3 linked regions of the Caenorhabditis elegans genome follow. The protein of the gene in region 1 interacts with the protein of each later gene in a pairwise test. Each region holds a gene or a part of one and is shown in the gene's direction. Other genes may lie near its edges.

What was found.
Region 2: the proteins of myrf-1 (region 1) and odr-7 interact in a two-hybrid assay, tested with the Caenorhabditis elegans proteins (one large-scale study listed by BioGRID).
Region 3: the proteins of myrf-1 (region 1) and ceh-9 interact in a two-hybrid assay, tested with the Caenorhabditis elegans proteins (one large-scale study listed by BioGRID).

Annotation. Positions count from the first base shown.
Region 1 is NC_003280.10:10,496,141-10,505,141, reverse strand, and holds myrf-1 (Myelin regulatory factor homolog 1, N-terminal), read left to right. Parts: upstream 1-2,600; 5' UTR 2,601-2,654; coding exon 2,655-2,679; intron 2,680-3,915; coding exon 3,916-4,109; intron 4,110-4,456; coding exon 4,457-5,116; intron 5,117-5,164; coding exon 5,165-6,416; intron 6,417-6,463; coding exon 6,464-6,594; intron 6,595-6,674; coding exon 6,675-6,922; intron 6,923-6,972; coding exon 6,973-7,093; intron 7,094-7,137; coding exon 7,138-7,282; intron 7,283-7,331; coding exon 7,332-7,351; 3' UTR 7,352-8,155; downstream 8,156-9,001. Other genes in the region: ZK666.12 (uncharacterized protein), read right to left, coding at 8,439-8,930.
Region 2 is NC_003284.9:12,458,179-12,464,279, reverse strand, and holds odr-7 (Nuclear hormone receptor family member odr-7), read left to right. Parts: upstream 1-2,622; 5' UTR 2,623-2,640; coding exon 2,641-2,974; intron 2,975-3,524; coding exon 3,525-4,002; intron 4,003-4,051; coding exon 4,052-4,139; intron 4,140-4,184; coding exon 4,185-4,351; intron 4,352-4,857; coding exon 4,858-5,000; intron 5,001-5,047; coding exon 5,048-5,211; 3' UTR 5,212-5,301; downstream 5,302-6,101. Other genes in the region: T18D3.5 (uncharacterized protein), read right to left, coding at 1-94, 144-252, 368-462. UniProt on the Caenorhabditis elegans protein: Required for the function of one pair of chemosensory neurons called AWA neurons that are involved in chemotaxis to volatile odorants. Acts in a pathway that specifies olfactory neuronal fate.
Region 3 is NC_003279.8:564,211-568,691, reverse strand, and holds ceh-9 (Homeobox protein ceh-9), read left to right. Parts: upstream 1-2,103; 5' UTR 2,104-2,300; coding exon 2,301-2,451; intron 2,452-2,811; coding exon 2,812-2,999; intron 3,000-3,147; coding exon 3,148-3,252; 3' UTR 3,253-3,408; downstream 3,409-4,481. Other genes in the region: Y65B4BR.1 (Lipase_GDSL domain-containing protein), read right to left, coding at 3,582-4,083.

The DNA of each region.
Region 1 (9,001 bases):
GGCGAAATTCTCTCATTTTTCCCCCTCCACAACACCAATACCACTCAACTCTAAATAATCGCTATCCTCGAGGGGAGAAAGGGAACACTCGGATGTCCATTTGACTCTCTTTTTTCGAAGAATCGAGTGTATGTGGACAGACGAGAGAAACGTTTCCTCCCATCTGGCTCTCGCAGTTTTTTATTCTATTTATTGTATACTTATAAATATGAACGATGACGCTCTCCGTTTTTGTACGGGGGGAAGTGGGAGGAGAGAGAGTGTCCTTAGTACTCGCTACAGGTATTAGAGACATAGAGAAATATGGAAGACAATTGGGGGAAGAGGAGACAGAGGATTGTAGGTCAAGAAAGGTCATTGTTGGTTTACGAGTTGGTACGGGATTTTGCTGTTTTTTGGCCTTTAAAAAAAAATGTTTTTGAAATGGTTAGATGAGTCACTCTGAAGAATTTTCAGTTTTAATTTCAAAATAAAATTTAAAGGGGGAGTAACCACTTAGGATTCTGTTTAAAACCAATGCGACCAAATATCATAGAAAAATTTCTCTATAATTTTTTTTGATACTTTTTTGCATATTCGAATTATAATTATATCAAAAATTCGTATGCGAGCATTTAAAACATAAGAATTGCTCTAATTTTCTCGAAATATAAGCATTTTTATTGTTCGGTAATTTACCAAAACTATGACTGAAAATGTTACAATTTGAAAAAAAATCAACATTATATAGACAATATCCCCTCCACTAGCTCTATCTTTAAAATAATGGCTGCTATCACACACCATCATAACCCAAATTTTATAGGCTGACATATAAACTATACCAATATATCAATACCAATTTTGTAAATTCATTGTCCCTACCGTAATCACCTATCATTTATCTATTGTAATTGCTCATTTCAAAAGTTTAATGGCTGGTGTGCCTGGTACCGGACACCCCGCCTTTGTTAGGAATTGCGAAATTTGTTCAAACTTTTTTTTTCCGCTATGCACCAAATGTTTCAGCTGTTGTTTATTGTACATTAAGTAAATATATACATAGATATAAGTTTTGTTCAAGCTGGCATCAATTACAGATGTGCATATTTTGGTTGCCTGAATTTATTCGAAATAAAAAAAATCTAATACTTTTTTGGAGGTTTAATAGAGATTTGATAGTTGAAAAATCTATTTTGAATGTCCTACCAAATATTCATATACTTTTTAATTTTTATCTAAATTTTTCAAATCTATTACTATTACTTAACTTTTCCCCTTTTCAAGTATTTTTTTAAAATTAAATGACAACTTCCATACATTGAAAAACTTTAATCAAAGCTCACAGCACCTCAATTCATCAGTCAACCATTCCACTGACCCTTTATCAACCTTATCAGTTTCAATGTGAGGTGTCAGCAGGTGCTGGTCATTTTTCAAAATGTTCGTTTTTCTCTCCGTTCCCCTCCCCCTTCTCGTTCCGATTTCCCAAACTTGTAAACACTTTTTTAATAAATTTGATGCACATCTGAAAATGGTGTCAGTGTAGATGCGAATCATATAGTTTTTGAGAGTATTATATGGTTACACAGCTGGTTCTGATGACCAGCGGTGGCAAAAACAAAATTCTGGGCATTTCAAACTAATTTTAAATTCCAAAAAATTAAAGCTGTGTTTTGTTGATGAAAGAATAAAGTTTAAAAACGTTTTAAAAAAGTTTTTGGATAGTTTCAGAAATTGAAATAACTAAAACTTAAGGTTTTTTTAAAGTTTTAGATTTGATACCAGGTGTAATAAAAAAGTCTATTGGAATTTTTCCGATATCAATTTACGCAGAAATTCCAAAAAGTTTGCACCCTTTATTTGCCTGACAACTATCTCTCCCAGAATCCAAATATTTTTCTATTATTCATGATCCTATAGAAAATCGTACTTCTTGATTTCCCGACAAAACCAAAATTGCCAAAAAAAAAGAAACCAAAGCTGCCCAAATTTTCCTTGTACCCCAGTTACCTTCAGTTCTAAAAAATCCAAAGCTTGGCGCGTTCGCCTCTGTGTGTAGGTCTGATACCATGTTTGCTCATACGCAAAAACCAGAGGGTGGCATTCGTTTCCTCCCATTTTCCCCACTTTTTTCCAATTCGCCTCTTCCTCCTCAACTGCCGCGCGCTCAACGCAGGCCAGGCAGTGGAAACATAAAAAAAACGAGCGCTCTTTCTCTTCCATTTTTCTCCCGATCTCTCCGCCTCGGAGACGCAGACAGGTTGGCGTGGCTAGCGGTGCCAGGCTGGACTCGGCCGGGTGCCGACCCCCCACCTAACACCCTCGCCTGCAGTCTCTCCGCTGTTCACACTATTTCTCGGGGTTCTCTCGCTTCTCGGGACGAGAGCGGAGTACGAGGCCGACACAGACACAGACACAGACTGAGCGTTTTTTTTGCTGACGCTGCAGCAGCCGTGGAGGCCATCTTGCTCCGCGTGTGTGTGTCTACTACCCTGCTAACCTACTTTTTTGACTTTTTCATCTTTAATATGATCTAGATGTTCGTAAATTTAACCCATCTTGAACTTCAACATATTTTATTTTTGTCATGGCTCATTTCCGAATTGTTATGCTTACAGAAGCCCTCCCACATACCCAATACCAAAGAACCGATACTTTAGCACACTTCGAACATGTCGAGCTCGGACCTTCTGAAAGGTAAGACATATTAAAAAAAAATAGGTTTTGACGGTGTTCTAGGACAATTAAAAAACCTGAACATTTTTGCAACCTCATTTTTCAACTTTGAGGGCTTACTTTTCAGTTATCGTTTGTTCTATCAAACAATTGTCAACTGACAAAATAATTTTTAGGTCTTTTTTTATCTTTTTGAATTAATTATTTCTGGATATCTTTAAAATGAATTAAGATAAATCCTTTTAAAGTAGTGGAGTGCAATCCTTGAAGATTTACTACTAAACTTTTTTTTAAAAATAAAATCGAGTTATCATTTATTTTCAAACATATATTTGCATTTCAATATCGATTTTGAAATTATGAAGTTTACTACAGTAACCCTGCAACTAAAAGTAAAATGACAAAATTTAATATTTTGGAAAACTGTTTTTCAACGATTCACAAAATCTCTACTGAATTATTGAAGCTCATTCAGAAATTACTACTGTAATCCCACATCTGATCTGCAGGTTACATATCAAGAAGGTTACTGTACCTTGCACTTACTCTACCTAGTCTAGGTGTCTAGGTCTAGGTCACCATCACACACACACACACAGACAATTTCAAAACATGCCGTGGTGTCCGGCGGCAAGCCATGAAGTGACCACTCACTTTCTGATTCCTATCTTCTTGCCTCAATCATCATGTCTGCGTCTCAATGTCCTATATGATCACTCGTCTCGTTCGCCTATCTACTTACACGCTTCCCTTGAAAAAGTGCATCTTTTCACGCGCCCAGATTCGCTCCTTTCCTCATTGTGTTTCTTTTTTCTCTCGACCCACAATCACGGAAGCTCGTTTTGGTTTTTTTTTCTTGAAAGAAGGAACGTCGATGTAGATGCTGGCAAAGCAAACATTTTTGTGTCTAAAAATATTATTTTTGCGAAAAAAAGTTATTTCAGATTTTAAATGTTCCATTTTAAAATATGCAATTCGTATTTCCATATTTCCACTTTGACAGCTTATATCTCGGTTGTCTTTAGTTTTATCAAAAACTGCCAACTGGTTTTATTGGTGCAAAATGTTCCTCCTTTATTTTGATAATAAAACAGTTTGTGTATGCTTGTAGGCATGTAGGCAGAAAGGCGTAAGTACGTAGACCCAATGTTCCTTCTTGTGGCTTTAACTTAAAAAAATTAATTTAGGATGATTATTTAGACTTTTTTAAAAAACATTTACAAAATAAATTTGATTAAAAATAAAAACAAATTTCAGGCGAGTTTGACGGGCTCAACTCGGAGCACTTTAACATGATGCAGTACTTAACTCAAGATACTGACGAAGACGATGGCTCAATGGTGTCCCCTACGTCTTCAGCAGATAGCATGCATCAAAATCTAGGAGTTCAACAGCAACAGCAACAAATGCTGCAAGCACAGCAACGACAAAACCAAAATGGCATTTTTCAGGTTAGTTTCTTATTCTTTTCATTTGATGAAATATCTCTTCGGGATAAGAAAAAACGGAACAAATGTTCTAATTCTTCTATGTTACGTAATTCACTAATTGATAGAAAAGATTGTGGTGAAGAGGCGAAGCCTTGAACAAGAATAAGATGAAGAACAAGAGATAACCTTGAGAACCGATTTCCCTTTTTCCAAAAGTGTCTAGAGACAGGGGTTTTATAGGGTTTAAATCGGCAGATATGGACATAAGAAGTAATTTTGGTTAAATAACTAGAAGTATTGAAAAAAAAACTACAGACAGAATGGCGTCATTGTGTGCTGAAACATACAATTAATGTGTGAAATTTCAGCCCCGTCGATTCCCTGAATCTCCAGCAATGACGGATCCTTGCGGAAATGTCTCTTCATCGTCATCATCATCACATCATTCGGACCCAATGTTCTCCCCAAATGAATTTAACGGATACGCTGGAGCCAATGATAACGGAAATCAAACAATGAACAATATTCAATCTCAACAACTCAGCCAGCAACAACATCAGCAGACACGTGGCGGAAATCTTATGATGCCCCAACAATCATCGATTCACGCCCAAATGCAAAACATGAATGCTCCACAATTCTGGAGCCAACCGGGAACTGCTGCAGTCAATCAACCTACAAACACCCTGGCTCAACTCAACCTTTTCAACATTATTCGTGGAGGAGCCGACAGTGGAATGCCAAGCCCTGTTTTGGAGATGCCACGTAAGAGAAGCCGACTTGACACCCCGTGTGAAACGCCAAGAATCGCTCCAAGCTTTGCTGGTATTGACGGATTTCCAGATGAGAATTACAGTCAGCAACAGGCAATCAGATTCTCAAAGTTTCAAGAAGAACAGTGGAGTCCACTGTATGACATCAACGCTCAACCGCTACAACAACTTCAAGTACATGTTGTTGCTGATAAGGGATTCAACTACAACTCAAATGATAATTGCTTTGTGAACCAGAAGAAAAATCATTTCCAGGTATGTAGATATATAGGAGTTTAAAATGTATTATTATTTTATTTTCAGATCTCTGTAAACGTGGAAGCTTCCGATACAATGCCACCAAAGTACGTTAACTTCAACAACCGACTCGTTCCAATTCGTGACTTCAAACTTTCGTTCTGTGGAGTTAAAGCTGAGATGCCATCGTCTGAAATCACAATTCGCCAATCTCGAGCCGATCGTAAACCACATACACATACTCCTGTGCTCTTTGAAATTCAAGAACGAAGAATGACAAAAGTTTGTGTACCACGTCTCCATTTCTCTGAGACCACCCTTAACAACCAAAGAAAACAAAAGAATCGTCCAAACCCGGAGCAAAAATTCTTCCTTTTGGTTGTCAGGTTATTTGCAAGCATTGATGAATCTGAGCATGGAGTTCTTATTCAATCATACGCATCTGAGAAGGTCATCGTTAGAGCCACCAATCCAGGAAGCTTCGAGCCACAAGATACGGACATTGGATGGCAACGAAATGGAGGAGCCCTGTATACACAGGGAGCTGTCTCCGTCGGAACTGAACATCAGGTTGAAAGTGCCAAGCTTACAGTAGCTGGGGACATTTATATGAGTGGCCGAATAATCAATCCATCCGATATTCGACTCAAGGAAGCAATTACTGAACGGGAAACTGCTGAAGCTATTGAAAACCTTCTGAAACTCCGTGTTGTCGATTACCGCTACAAACCAGAAGTCGCAGACATCTGGGGACTTGATGAGCAACAAAGACATCGCACAGGACTGATTGCACAAGAGCTTCAAGCTGTGCTTCCTGATGCAGTACGAGATATTGGAGATTATTTGACAATTGATGAGGGACGAGTGTTCTACGAGACTGTAATGGCAACTCAACAACTCTGCAGAATGACCGGAGACTTGGACAGTAAGATCGATGAAAAAGTTGCCGAGATTAGCAGACGATTGAATGAATACGCAGTCCGAAAGAAGCTCGCTAGCTCAATGGCATCTAACCTCAACGGAGACAACAAGAGTCTCTCATACTCAAGATGCTCACTCACATCAACTGCAACCAATGCCACGTCACAACCAAAGAGAAGCAGGAAGCATCGTGCCATAAAACAGGCACAATCCTGTGGAAGCCGACTTAGTCAAGGAACAGTTGTCACCTTGGTTTCCATTATGGCCGCTTGTCTTCTCGCCATGTCAGCTCTTTATGTCCTTGATTGGCATAACCGAAACTACGGATATCACCAACATTTCGAAACGAACACACCATCCACTAAAGGAGAACTCGCCAATCTTGTCATATCACCAGGTTAGTCCAAATTTCCGAGCTTCATACAAAAATTCATGATTTTTCAGCCAACTTCATGCCCTCATTCCAACCCGATGCCCCTATACTACTTGAAAAATGCTTCAATCCATCTTGTAAAACATATTGTTGTACAGATACGCCGCCCGTTGTAGAGGACAGTAGAGCCATCGCTACACATGTAAGTTTAATCTATTTCCGTCACGAGACTATAATCTTAGATATTCAACAATTCTAAGCCTTCACTGTACATTATTACAGGGCCTCGACAATGGCGATGAAGTATATCCAGAGAGTCCATCCAACAGAACCAATGGCATCGCACGTGCTCCAAACCTTGAGCACATGGCTTTTGAAACTGGAGTTGAGATTAGAATCCCTGCACTGAATGTGACACTTGACCAGCGTTACTGTGTGGAACGCAGTTGTAACAAACGAAAAGGAATCTTCAATGTCTTTGTGCCAGTGTCAAGATATATGCCTGATGTTGCTCTTGAAATTGAAATTAAGTAAGTTGGCACCTTGAATTTTGAATTTTTAAACTTTTAAAAAATTATAGAGCTCCAATTTCAAAAGTCGTGAGCAACTGCGGAGCGTTCCCTTCAACAGAGTTCAACCACAAAGTTTGTCCGTTGAGCCGAACTCAACAAAGCGAATCACCGGTACCAACTTCTACAAGAGTGAGTTTCGCCTTTTTAAACTATGAAAACTATTCAAATTTCAGCTATTTGACAATATCTTCGAGTTATCTATGGGTTCCTTCATCCAATCAGCCTACCGGTTCCGAGTCGGCTACTCCACTGAAACCTGCTTCAGCGAGGATTCAAATGGATCCTACGAGGAGTACAATCTGATCTTTTATCGCATGTGTAAGTGACTTCATGAATTTTTAAACATGAATTTAATAATGTATTTCAGGCACCCTATCATCTTCATAAGCTAATGCTTCATATATCATTTTTGTTTGCGCCAGTGGGCCGTTGCAATTCTTTCAAACCTTCTTCCAAAAAATCCCTCGCCCAGAAATGTCTTTTCTCTTTTTCTCTGACTCTCTGTCTCTCTGTCTGACACTCATTGAAAATTGTTTTATTATAATATTATTTCTTTACTTCTTCTCATTCAAATCTCATCCACACCGTTCAGCATTTTATATGAAACCACTTGTGTCCAACCAACATGTATCCCCCCGGTTACAATCGTGTATACTCTAAAAACCCCGTCGCCAACTTTTCAAATTTTCAGCCCAGTTTTCTTCATCCCCCAACTGTATTTATTTTCAAATCTATACCTCATCTCCTCTCATTTATTCCCCCTTCTCTTGTCTCATGGATTCCAAACAGGCTCTCCCGAATTGATCAGCCAATATGTAAAAATGTTGAGTAACCAGGACTTCTTCACTCAGATACAACCAATCTATGTCGACGAAACACTTTTCTTGAAATTTATGTACTTTTTAATGGATTTTTTTTTCAAAAATTCAAACAACAACACACACAAAGACCTCTATGAAAAACTCTCCCTGAATGATATCGATAGGTACATTTTTTCATTTTTTTCCCAAATACTTTATTCTTTTTTCTAAAACTGCAAAAAAAATCACGAAAAAATATTTATTTCTTCATTTGTTGATCAGAATCTTTTTTAACCTATTCACTTTAATCTTTTTATGCCCCCGTCCCCGTACTCTGAAATGTCGTTTCTTGTCCTTTCATTTCACTAATGAATAAAATAATTTCAATTTTATCCAAGCCCATACATATAAAGTTTAATAAAATCAGAGAATTGAATCCGTTTTTGACCAAAAAGTAGCAAAAACCCTGACCTCTATTTTTCTAACTCCACAAAAAAATCGACAAATATACATTAATGGAAAAAAACCTTAAAAGTTATTACTTTAATAAATTAATAAATTCTTTGAATCCGATTGTACCTGTGATGTTTTTCGGAAGCTTAGATTTTTTGGAATATGATCATTTTGTATTTCAAATAATTTATTTCACATTTACATACATTAATAATAATAATCTAAAAATCATCTTCTACCATACTCTTAAACATTTTTCGATGTGAAGTCTTAAACTTCAATAATAAAAAACATCGGTAATATGCGGGTAACAAAAATAAACAAAACAACGAGAATAAGGAATAACTCAATGGAGATTCATACTTTTCACAAATATATTTTGCATAAAAAAGTACCATTGCTGTCAGTGCAGCTGCTTCAATTGATGATAATGGCCGTAAAACAGAAAAGAATCGAACTCCAATGGCTACAAGATCCAGAGTGAAGCCGATGAAAAGACATAAGAGAAAAGTGGTGTACCAGTCATGAAGATTTTTAGAAAAGAATGGAAGAATAATCACATATGGAATTGTGATTATAAGTACAAGTTTTGGAGTTGTACTTGATTGTTGTTCAGCTTGTTTATCATGTTCCTCTTCTTCTTTTATCTCCATTAATTCTTCAACATCAGGTCGAATGTCTCCTTGGATTGGTGAAATTGACATTTTCTTCATTTTTTGAAATTACCTGAAGCTATGAAATTAACAGAAAAATTTGTGAGTTTGAAAAAATTAAAGAAACAAAT
Region 2 (6,101 bases), on another chromosome or scaffold:
TGTCATTGAAGTCTTTTTCAACACGTTCCAAATGTTTATTAGTTTGTTTCCGACTGAACCGATGAGAAAATTCTCCCTCTGCAACCAACGTGACCTGAAAATATGAGTTGAAATTTTCGATGATACAAAGTGATTCAACAAACCGATTCACCGACGTAAAAGTCGTTCATATGACGTAATGCGAAGCAGAATAAAAGACACAGAATTACAACGAGCCAAACGTCGGAGTTGTCACGAGATGCTTCGTTTTCTCTGGAACAGATTCAAAAATTTATTTATTCGAAAACAATTATGAACATATTGGTTCAAAAGAACATTGACGAAAAGTTAAATGTATAAATGTATTACATTTTATGTAATGAATTACCTAGGGGAGTGCTGCTCATCTTGAGCGTTAGCCAGTGTAATTGAAAGGATTATTATAATAAGCAGGCAGGTGAGACAATTGCACAATTTTCTCATTTCAAATCAACTACCGAGGATATGTGGACAATGCTGAGCTTTCGCCATTTTGACATTTCCGCAAATAGTCTCTGACTGTTTATTTGTTGAAGAAAATAACTGATAGGCAACTGAAGTTAAGCTGTTAATTTTTATAGGCTATAATAAATAGAACTTCGAAAGATGGAATACAAACTTTCAAAAATATGCGGTAAAGCACTTTTTTTAATTGATAAAGTAATTGGTAAACTTAAAAAAACTTACTTCAGGGTTGTCAATATTGGCTGAAGAATATTAACTTTCAATCAGAAAGATGTAAACAGAAGTTGACAAATATTTTGAAATGCAAAATTTATTTATAACAATTTTTACAGTACTCAAAACGAAATTGCAATAAAAAAATAATTTTAAACTAGCTTATTTGATTCCACACCTTAGATGCCCTTCTTGTCAGTGTGCTAAATTTTTTTTGATTACTGCCAGAAGTCTCCCAACAGTTTCGAAGTATTTTTAAAATTTGACATTTTTGTAGATTTAAATCAAAAAATAAATATGATTTTCCAAGTTGTCGTCACTATCTTGTTGGCATTTAGTGAAATAAAACTACCGACAAAAAATATGTTCACGTAAAAATATATAAAAAATCAGAATAACTGATATGTTCAAAAACGTTGGTATTAAAGTTTATTGTGCAAAGTTGTAGTCTATGAAATGTTTGGTGATGTCAAGTTTCGGGAAAAAAACCACCTCCGATTGTTAAGTCTAATAATTTCTAATCAATCAATGTGTAAAATTTAGAAATAATTTATTTCAGAAACTTCATGATTGGCAGATGACGTTGTTACCTTCACTGAGCCCCTTATTCCTACGGTAGGTGCTCGCCACGCCTCTTCACACATCTTCTGCGATTGTTTTCGAGTTATCACCAATTTGACTCCTACACTATTTTCCGCTGTATTGAATAACAAAATATCAGTTTCCATCCCAATCAATACTAAAACTGTGTATCCAGTTTGGTCAGCTTCCGGTCAGTTTTGAACATTCTGTCTTTATTGTCCGCTACCGTCCCCGCTCGTACAACATTTTGTGTTTGTCCACAAATTATTGTGATTGCTCTTGTTGTTGTGCGCCCGTGTAAATGCCAATTTTTGTCTGTGTGACTATAAGAATTGAAGTATACGTACTGCAAAATGGCATCCTGGATTGTAACCAAATAGGGAGGAAGATACAAGAAAATGTATCGAAATATTACATTTTTCTTCCGAGATCATATAAATCGACACATTCATGGTTCGAACAAGTTTATATTCGTTCATCTCTTTCTAGGTTGATGTTAGATTTTCTGCTAGAAATTCTTAAACTACCAAGTGTTAGAAGACTTGTGTGGTTAATACAAACTTTATAGACTCATCCCAACCTTAATTCCAAAAAGCCTAATCGTAAAGTAATGGCTCAGAATTTTTTGATTTTGTAAACTCAAATTCTGAGTCGTCCCTTCTTCTATCCAACTTTTGATCATGAAAAATTATTATGATCTGTTATGATTATACCTGTACCGCGCACAAAATCAGCTTACTAACAGTGTTAAAATGCTCCACAAAACATTTTTAGCATTAAACAGAAAACCTGATTTAGTTATTAAGTATACATTTCATCACCGTTAACAGTAATATTTAAGACGATTTATTATTAAAACAGCAAAGGAAATGAAGGTTACCTTATAAAACTAAACATTCTCATTTTTGTTTTAAAATCAAAGCGTTTTTTTCATAACCTTCTTTGAATTCTTTGTGTTTTTTCAATTCTCAAAAAATCTTTATCATTTTTCTGAAAACTAAACCAAACGAATTAAAAAATTTTACTCACATGTTAAAACCATTTGTATCTTCGACTACAAATTTTGGCCATTTTGTTTGTCACAAAAATCCGTTTCTGATTGAGCTACGGTAGATACAATTTGCATAATCTAACAGATTCTCGGCGTTTTGAGATATCGGGAACCAGTTAGATCTTTAAAACGATATCTATTTTGGAATGCACTTTTGAGATTTGGATACAAAAGTTCATTCTGATCAAATTGACACTGGAGGTCTTGTTAAATTATTTCAATAACACTGACATCTTCTGGTTTTACTCTTTCTTTTGAAAACGGCATAACAACATTTTTTTACAATATATTACAGCTATTTCCTTTCAAAAATGATAGTACCGGACACTGAGGGATTGTTAATTTATTCGTATGGACTGATGTACGGTTCATATTGTATGGCATGTCAAATGTTGATTCCACACTTTCAATGCATACCCGGCATTTTTCCAAACTTTAGAATTTCAACTGAACTCATCAAGACTATGACGGATAAATTGGAGCAACCGAACAACAACGTTCCTCAACAGCCATGGGGCCCTTTTCCTCCTGCATTCGGTGGCCGGCCAAGTGGTGAACAGACTGATGGAAATCCAGGAGAGTTTGATAATGATGCTGCACATCAACAAACGGCTCCGTTCATGACTCATTTCTTTCCAAGAATCGGTGAGATGTTTGTCAGAACAAAACTAGGGCTGTGATTCGTTTTTTATTGATTTCCATTTAAGTCAAAAAATTTCAAGAATTCGTAATTGTATGGCTGAAATTTTTTGTAAGTGGGATCGATCAGTACATTATCACTCAGTTTACATATAATTTGAAAAAAAAAACGAAAAGTAATTGCTAAAAGTACTCACCAATTTGCCGAAAAATCTCTACCAACTTTAGCAATGCCCATTCCAAAATTGAGCAACTTTAGCAATGCCCACTGCAAACTTTAGAAAAGTTGAGTAAAGTTGGTTAAAGTAGGAGATGATTTAAAAGATACTACAATTGGGAGAAAAGCTGCGAGATAGTATGGTTCGTTATAAAGCTGCTAGTGTTTCTTGAGAAAATGCGGCAAATGGTCGGTCATTTGAAATACTTCAAACTAGAGCTGCAATCTCTGTCATATTTTAAGTTTGGGAAAATTAATAAATACTTACCCAGCTCAGGATAAAAGTTTCTGGATATATATCTTTTCTTTATTTTCTGATCTTCATTTTTTGAATTTCAGGACTTCAATTCCCAGACTTTACCGAGTACCAGCGTTTTAATGGCTTCCAACGAAACGCATTCTTCCCTAATCCATTCGGATCTCAGTTCACAGGCCAAGCATTTGCACAGTCGTTCCCATTGCACAATTCAATGACTACCATGGATGGTTTCAATTTGACACATGCTCCTCACCCGTTTTCAACAAATACAAACTCTACAAAACCTAAGGACATTGAAAACACGGTTCAAAGTACAATCAAACACAGTTCGGAAAACATCCAGGATAAGCCACCAGTGTTGTCTGTGGAATACCCTGTTAAATACGATTCTGAACTGAAATTTGACGCAAATGTAGATTTCACAGCAGTTCCTAAACAGGAGTCTTCAGACGATTCAACTCTAAAAAATCTCAAAAAATCAGACCAACAGCTACAACAACCGCAACAATTTACATTTCCACCTCCATTATTAGCGGAGAAATCATTTGAGCAGCCCAGGTAGATCGACTTTTAAAGACAGTTGTAAAATATCAACTGATAAGTTTAGAATGCGAGAAGACGTTTTACCTTTTCATCCACAATTCTATCCGGCACCACTTGACATGGGCACAAACTTCAAGCAAGAAATGAGAACTGTAATCTCTTCACAATTAACAAAATCTAAACACCAAAAATTTCAGCCACCAATCGACGGGCACATTGATTACAGAAAATTTGATGCTAGCGGAAAGAGAATGGAGTTTCAGCCACCGGGTGCTTTGCATGACTGTCAAGTGTGTTTGTCAACTCATGCTAACGGGCTTCACTTTGGAGCCCGTACATGCGCCGCATGTGCTGCGTTTTTCAGGTAAGAAAGCTCATAATGCAAGTGTATTTAGATGGCCTTTTGCTGTTTGAGACTTGAGAACTCTAGAAAACGTCTCAAAAAAAAACATTTTACGGTTTTTTAAAATATTAGATAAGCTTAGCTGAAATCTTTGATTTAAAAACTTTGCGTGTCGCAGCGATTGAAGGTTAATTTTAATTGTTTTGTAGTTAAATGAACAGAATTGAAACAAAAATCAATTTGTCAAGCGCGTCAAAAATTTTTGTAATATTCGCAGCTTTAAGGATTACTTTTTTCTGACTTTAAACCATCTTATAACTTTTTTCAAAGTATCATATTAAAACAATTATCGCTACTACATTTTTGATGATGATTTGTTTTGATGTTTTGAATGCTTGTAAATGTTAAAACACACTGTTTAATTTTATTTCGTTGTCAATGCTTCAGTTCAAACCAGTATGACTCAATAAAGCCTGTGTGCTACACAGAAAACTGTTAAGTTAAAAAACCCCATCATAAAATTTCAGAAGAACTATCAGCGATGACAAACGATATGTCTGTAAGAGGAACCAACGGTGCAATAATGCAAGCCGCGATGGAACTGGGTATCGGAAGATTTGTCGGAGTTGTCGAATGAAACGATGTCTGGAAATTGGAATGCTTCCAGAAAGTTGGTTTTTTTTTGTCAAATCATAATGCTCACCAAATTTATGTCAGATGTGCAGCACAAGCGAAATCGTCGAGATTCTGGATCCCCGCCTCGTAAAACTCCATTTGACACTTTCTTCAACGGATTTTACCCCTCATTCCAACCTTCTGGATCAGCAGCTCAACCGATCACTGTATCCTCAAGTGAATCACCTCGTCACACAACTAATTGAGCGTGATAATTGTTTATCTTCCGATCTCAAAGCATAAGTTCCAGTTCTATTATTACCGATACTCACAATGTGATTCAATAAAAAATAATTTACTTCGATCTGGAAAGGGCTAAGGCAGTTCTTTCATAAAACGTATTGAAACAGTAAAAACGGTCCCCAGTATGTAAAAGAAACATCGATCTGATCAGTCATACTATTTTTCTAATCAATAGTTTTTTTTTCAATTAGATAGTGTTTTAATAGTAAGTTTTTCTAAAGTCAGGAAAATAAATATCAAATAATTATCTGATTTTTTAAATGTAAAATTGGAATAACGAGGCAAATATTTTGAAAACATTTTTTTTGTTTTCTGTGTAGAACAAGTTTTGTTTTAAATGATATCATATAACCAATTTCATTTAACAGTAATTAACTAATTTAAAGATATTAGGCGTCGTGGTTACAATTACTGCTTTTTGGTTATAATTCTTTTATGAACATTTGCACATACTGTTTAATTTAATTTTCATTGCAACTTGGCTAACGGAGAATGCTATTATCTTCTTACTTTTGTAATAATTATTTTGTACAACATGTGTAGTTGAAATTTTGAAGGAACACAGCAACCAATGACAGTATTGAATAAGAAACTCGTACTCAATTTGAAAGATACTTTTCTATATTTGCTTTATTGCGCGCTGTGATGCAATTTATACGGAAAAACCTGTCTATATGTTGACTTGCGATAGTTTTCCCTGTCGTTGATGACAATCGCAAAGACCTAAATTCCGTGGAATGTTCTACCGGGAATCTCAACATCCAATTGACACCTGTTGTCATCTGGGGGTATAGCTCAGTGGTAGAGCGCTCCCTTAGCATGGGAGAGGGCTGGGGTTCAATTCCCCATACCT
Region 3 (4,481 bases), on another chromosome or scaffold:
CCTGATTCCGAGTATCTATGTGAAAAAATTCAAAATTCAAAACAAGTTTGCCAGATTTTATATTTAAGCTTGAAATCGCCGAATTTCATTTGTATCCCGGTCTCTTTTTTAAATACGCGCTCAAATAAATTAGCATTGGAGCGCGCTTGCATTGTTTGATTTTTTTTCGTTTTTTTACATTTTTTTCAGAAAAAAAAAACCGACAAAAATGAATGAAACTGGTTTTAAAAAAATTGAATTCGGCTAAAATAAAAAAAACTAAACGAAAAAAAGTCAAACGATGCACGCGCGCGCTAATTTATTTGGGCGCGAGTTTGAAAAAAGTGATGCGAGTACAAATGAAATTTAAAAAAAAAAAATTTTTATGAAAGATTTCAAGCTTAAATATAAATTCAGGAAATTTTTTTTGAATTTTTTCACATAGATATTCGGAATCAGGGGAAAATTTAGGGTGAATTAAAAATATTTCCAAGATTCAAGTTTTTTTGGTTAGACCCTTATTAATTTTTGCGTGCTGACGTCACAATTTTTCTGGAAAAATATTCCCGCATTTTTCGTAGATCAAACCGCAATGAGACAGCCTGACACCACGTGTATCGGTTTATTTTTAAGATACCACATGGAAATTGACAAATTCTCGATTCACCATGACTAAAACTAGAATATTAATAAAATTTTAGCTATAAGTATTTGTCTGTTGCTTCTCGACAAAGCTGTAGAAAAAGTTTCGAAAAATTGAATTTTTGAATTTGAATTTTTGATTTTTTTGATCCCAAGTTTTTTTCCAGTTCGTTCCAGTAATAATTATATATATATCTAGGCAAATAAATCTCCCCTCGCTTGAAATAAAAAAAAATAAACTCAAGACATATCAAATAAGCAATCAACTTTCATGTCCGCTATATAAGGTCTGAAACATTTATGGAAAAAGTTTGTTTGCCACAAAGATTTATTCGTTGACATTTTTTAAGAATGTTCCCAAGATGGAAGTCATGAATTTATACTTTCTTGGAATAATTTTATTACCAACTGTTTTCTGATTTTTTTTTGGTTAAAAATGTCCCCCCGTCTCATTTCATTTTCCCGCTAGAATATATTTTTTCTCCTGCAACCTATAAACTTCCGATAATTGATGATATTTAAATAAAAGTGTTCAGTGATATTACGGAAAAAATGCAAAAACCTCAAACTTTCCAAAATAACGTACGACTTTTTAAAAGTAAGTAATTTACATTTAACATGCGTAGTATTATGTTTCTCTAGTTTTACATTTTCCTCAAGTTCTAATAGGAATATATCAAACTTCAAAAGAAATTTAGAGCATTTGGGAGCAATTTGGGCTCGGAAAATTTTTTTGGTTTTTTTATTGTATTTTTAAATTAAAAAAAAAAGAGCCGTGAAATTGCTCAAAAAAAAAAAGGTTTTTTTGCGTGCGGGTTGCATATCCTCATTTTAAAAGTAATTTTTTAGGCTATAAAAATATAAACTTGTGAAAGATATGTTTTTTTCTGGATTTTGTGAATTTCTGGAAATTTCTCTTTCTTTTTTTTCTACCCTTCCCTCACCCCCGCCTGAGCTTATTCTGAAGCCAACACCTAAGCCTAAGCCTAAGCCTAAGCGTAAGCCTAAGCCTAAGTCTGAGCATAAGCCTAAGCCTCAGCCTAAGCCTCAGCCTAAGCCTAAGCCTAAGCCTAAGCCTAGGCCTAAATTTAAGTGTAGCCTTAAGTCTAGACCTAAGCCTAAGCCTAACAATAAGCTTATACTCAGTAGACATCCTTACAAAATTAATTCGATTTCCATGAAAAATTGTAGATCAACCTTGCTGGTCTATTCAAAAGGTTTTTTTCAAATAATTGAGGTTATATTTGAAAGTCCAAGTATTACAAATTAGCACAATAATATCACATGTGCCTCCGCTACTCCAAAATTTCAATTCAAATATTTAAGTTCAAGAAAAGTATTTAATAGTCAAGTATGAGAAACTCATTCCCTCAATTGCATCAAGTATCATCCCTTACCACCAATCCTCCTCTCCCCCTCCTCCTTCTCGAAATCCGGTCTCTTATTCAATTTGCTGGCTCATGCTCTTTTTGTCATCATCTCAGAACTCACCCATCTTCTTCTTCTTTCCACACCAATTGCGCAATCATTGTCGACCACTTTGGCAAATTGTCGTCGTCGTCAACCGTCAAAAGTCCCCCGAGAGTCCAGAATTTCAATTATTTGATTGAAGAGAAGGCGGGGACCTCGAGACCTACTGTATAGAGAAGTCTCTCAGAAGTTCTTTTCATTCGTGCAAAATGGAAACTGACTTGCTCTTCCAACTACTTCAACCCTATTTTGCACTGTTGACGTCTGATGTGAAGCCTCAGAGAAGAACTAGTCACCTGATAAAGGATATACTTGACTTACCAACTGTTAATGGAGAAATTGATGAATTTGGAAGATGCAGTAAGTTGATTTCTTTGGATTAGGTGTATGAAGTTTTGTAGTTGAAAAATAGACTAGTTTTGGGCATGGTGCATTTGAGGTGAAATACTATTCTTTTTGACATGGTGCATCGATTCGTATTTTCTGTAATAGTATTTCACTGGCCTTTTTTTGAGTAAAAATTACAAAAATTACAAGACACAATTTTTATTTCCTTTACTCTCAATTTTTGTTTTAAAATATTAGAAAATCTGAAAAAAATTAAAATGTTTTCGAAATTTTGGAAAAAAAATTTTTTGGAAATTTACTAATTTTGTTCAATGAATTTCGGAAAAATGCTACACGTAGAAAAATAATCAGCCGTTAAGAATATTTTTTCAGAATCCAGCCTCGACCAAGCCAAAGAGTCTCCTATAGAAAAATGTCAAAAAACAAAGAGAAAGAAGGCGCGGACGACATTTTCCGGGAAACAAGTATTCGAACTGGAGAAGCAGTTTGAGGCGAAAAAGTATTTGTCAAGTAGTGACAGAAGTGAGCTTGCAAAACGATTGGATGTCACGGAGACGCAGGTAGGCACGCAGCGCGGCACGCAACGCGGCACGCAACGCAGCCCGCAACGCAGCACGCAACGCGGCACGCAACGCGGCACGCAACGCAGCACGCAACGCAGCACGTAACGCGGCACTCAACGCATAGCTGAAATTTCTCAAATTCCAGGTGAAAATCTGGTTCCAAAACCGGCGTACCAAGTGGAAGAAGATCGAATCGGAAAAGGAAAGATCTGGAGAAATACCGGATGATCAGATTGTGAAGCCGCAATAATTTTATGTTGTTTTTATTTTTCAAAGAAAAAGTCGTGATATATCCCCTTCTATGAAATCCCGTGAACAATTAGTATTTCCAGTATCTTTTTTTCAAAATCAAGATCTCTTCCTTTACCTTGATCTCCATTCTTCTAATAAATAATTATTGCAAAAATATTTACTCGCTCTATTGATAGCTATATTGTGTACTCCACGTGGATATTTTTATTGAGGGTGCTCTTTCTTTTATGTCTCACACGTTAAAAATTAAAGATTACACGATAAAACATTTTATTGCAGACCCGATAAGTACGTCAAATTACACACACAAACACAATTTCCTACAGTCTAGGCAGTCATATATTTCGAGCAGTCAACACTGTTCTTAGTTGTTCTGAAGAATGGGCACTTGGTGTCTGGGCAGTTTAGTGGAATGGTAGGATCTGACAGATTGACTTGATGGTTCTTGGATCCGACTGGTTGAACGATATTGTTCCACAAGTGCTTGGCAACATTGGCGTGGCCTAGTTTTGAGAAATGGAAGCAATCCGGTGCAAACCAATCCAGATTGACTTCTCCGTCGGGCTTGAGTGGTGGAACTGTGATTCCATTGAAGAATGGTTGAACGACAAATGTAAAGTCATCTGTTGAGTCGAAGATTCCCGAGTCTTGAATCTCCTGCTGAGCATCCATGTAAAGATGGCAGGCAGCCGAGATGTCGGTATTCGGGAAGTCCTTGTTCTTCTCGCATGGGCACTCGAACACATGGAGGCCGTCGCAGAAATACTTGTCGTGGTCGATTTGGCGAAGCATGGCCATGTCGAACATTCCGGTCATGGATACGATGGTTCTGGAAGGACTTGGTATTGATGGCATAGTTATGGACCATACTCCTCTTTTTGAAAAAAAAATTTCCATAAAAAGCCGAAAAATGTTGGCTCTTATTATCGAAAAATACGATCGCAAATTTTTTTCATAATTAATTTTTGATCTACCTTTGGAAGTTGACTCTGCCCACGTGGTGTCAGAGTGTCTCATTTTGGCTTGAATTACGTTGATCTACAAAAAATGCGGGAGAAGAGACGCAGAGTTCTCAACTGATTTTGTATGGTTAAGAACGTGCCGACGTCACTTTTTTTTTGGGCGAAAAATTCCCGCATTTATTGTAGATCAAACTGTAATGGGACAGCCTGGCACCACGTGTTTGCCCATAATCTTGTTGCCGTTGTTATTTTGTTGTGGCTGTCT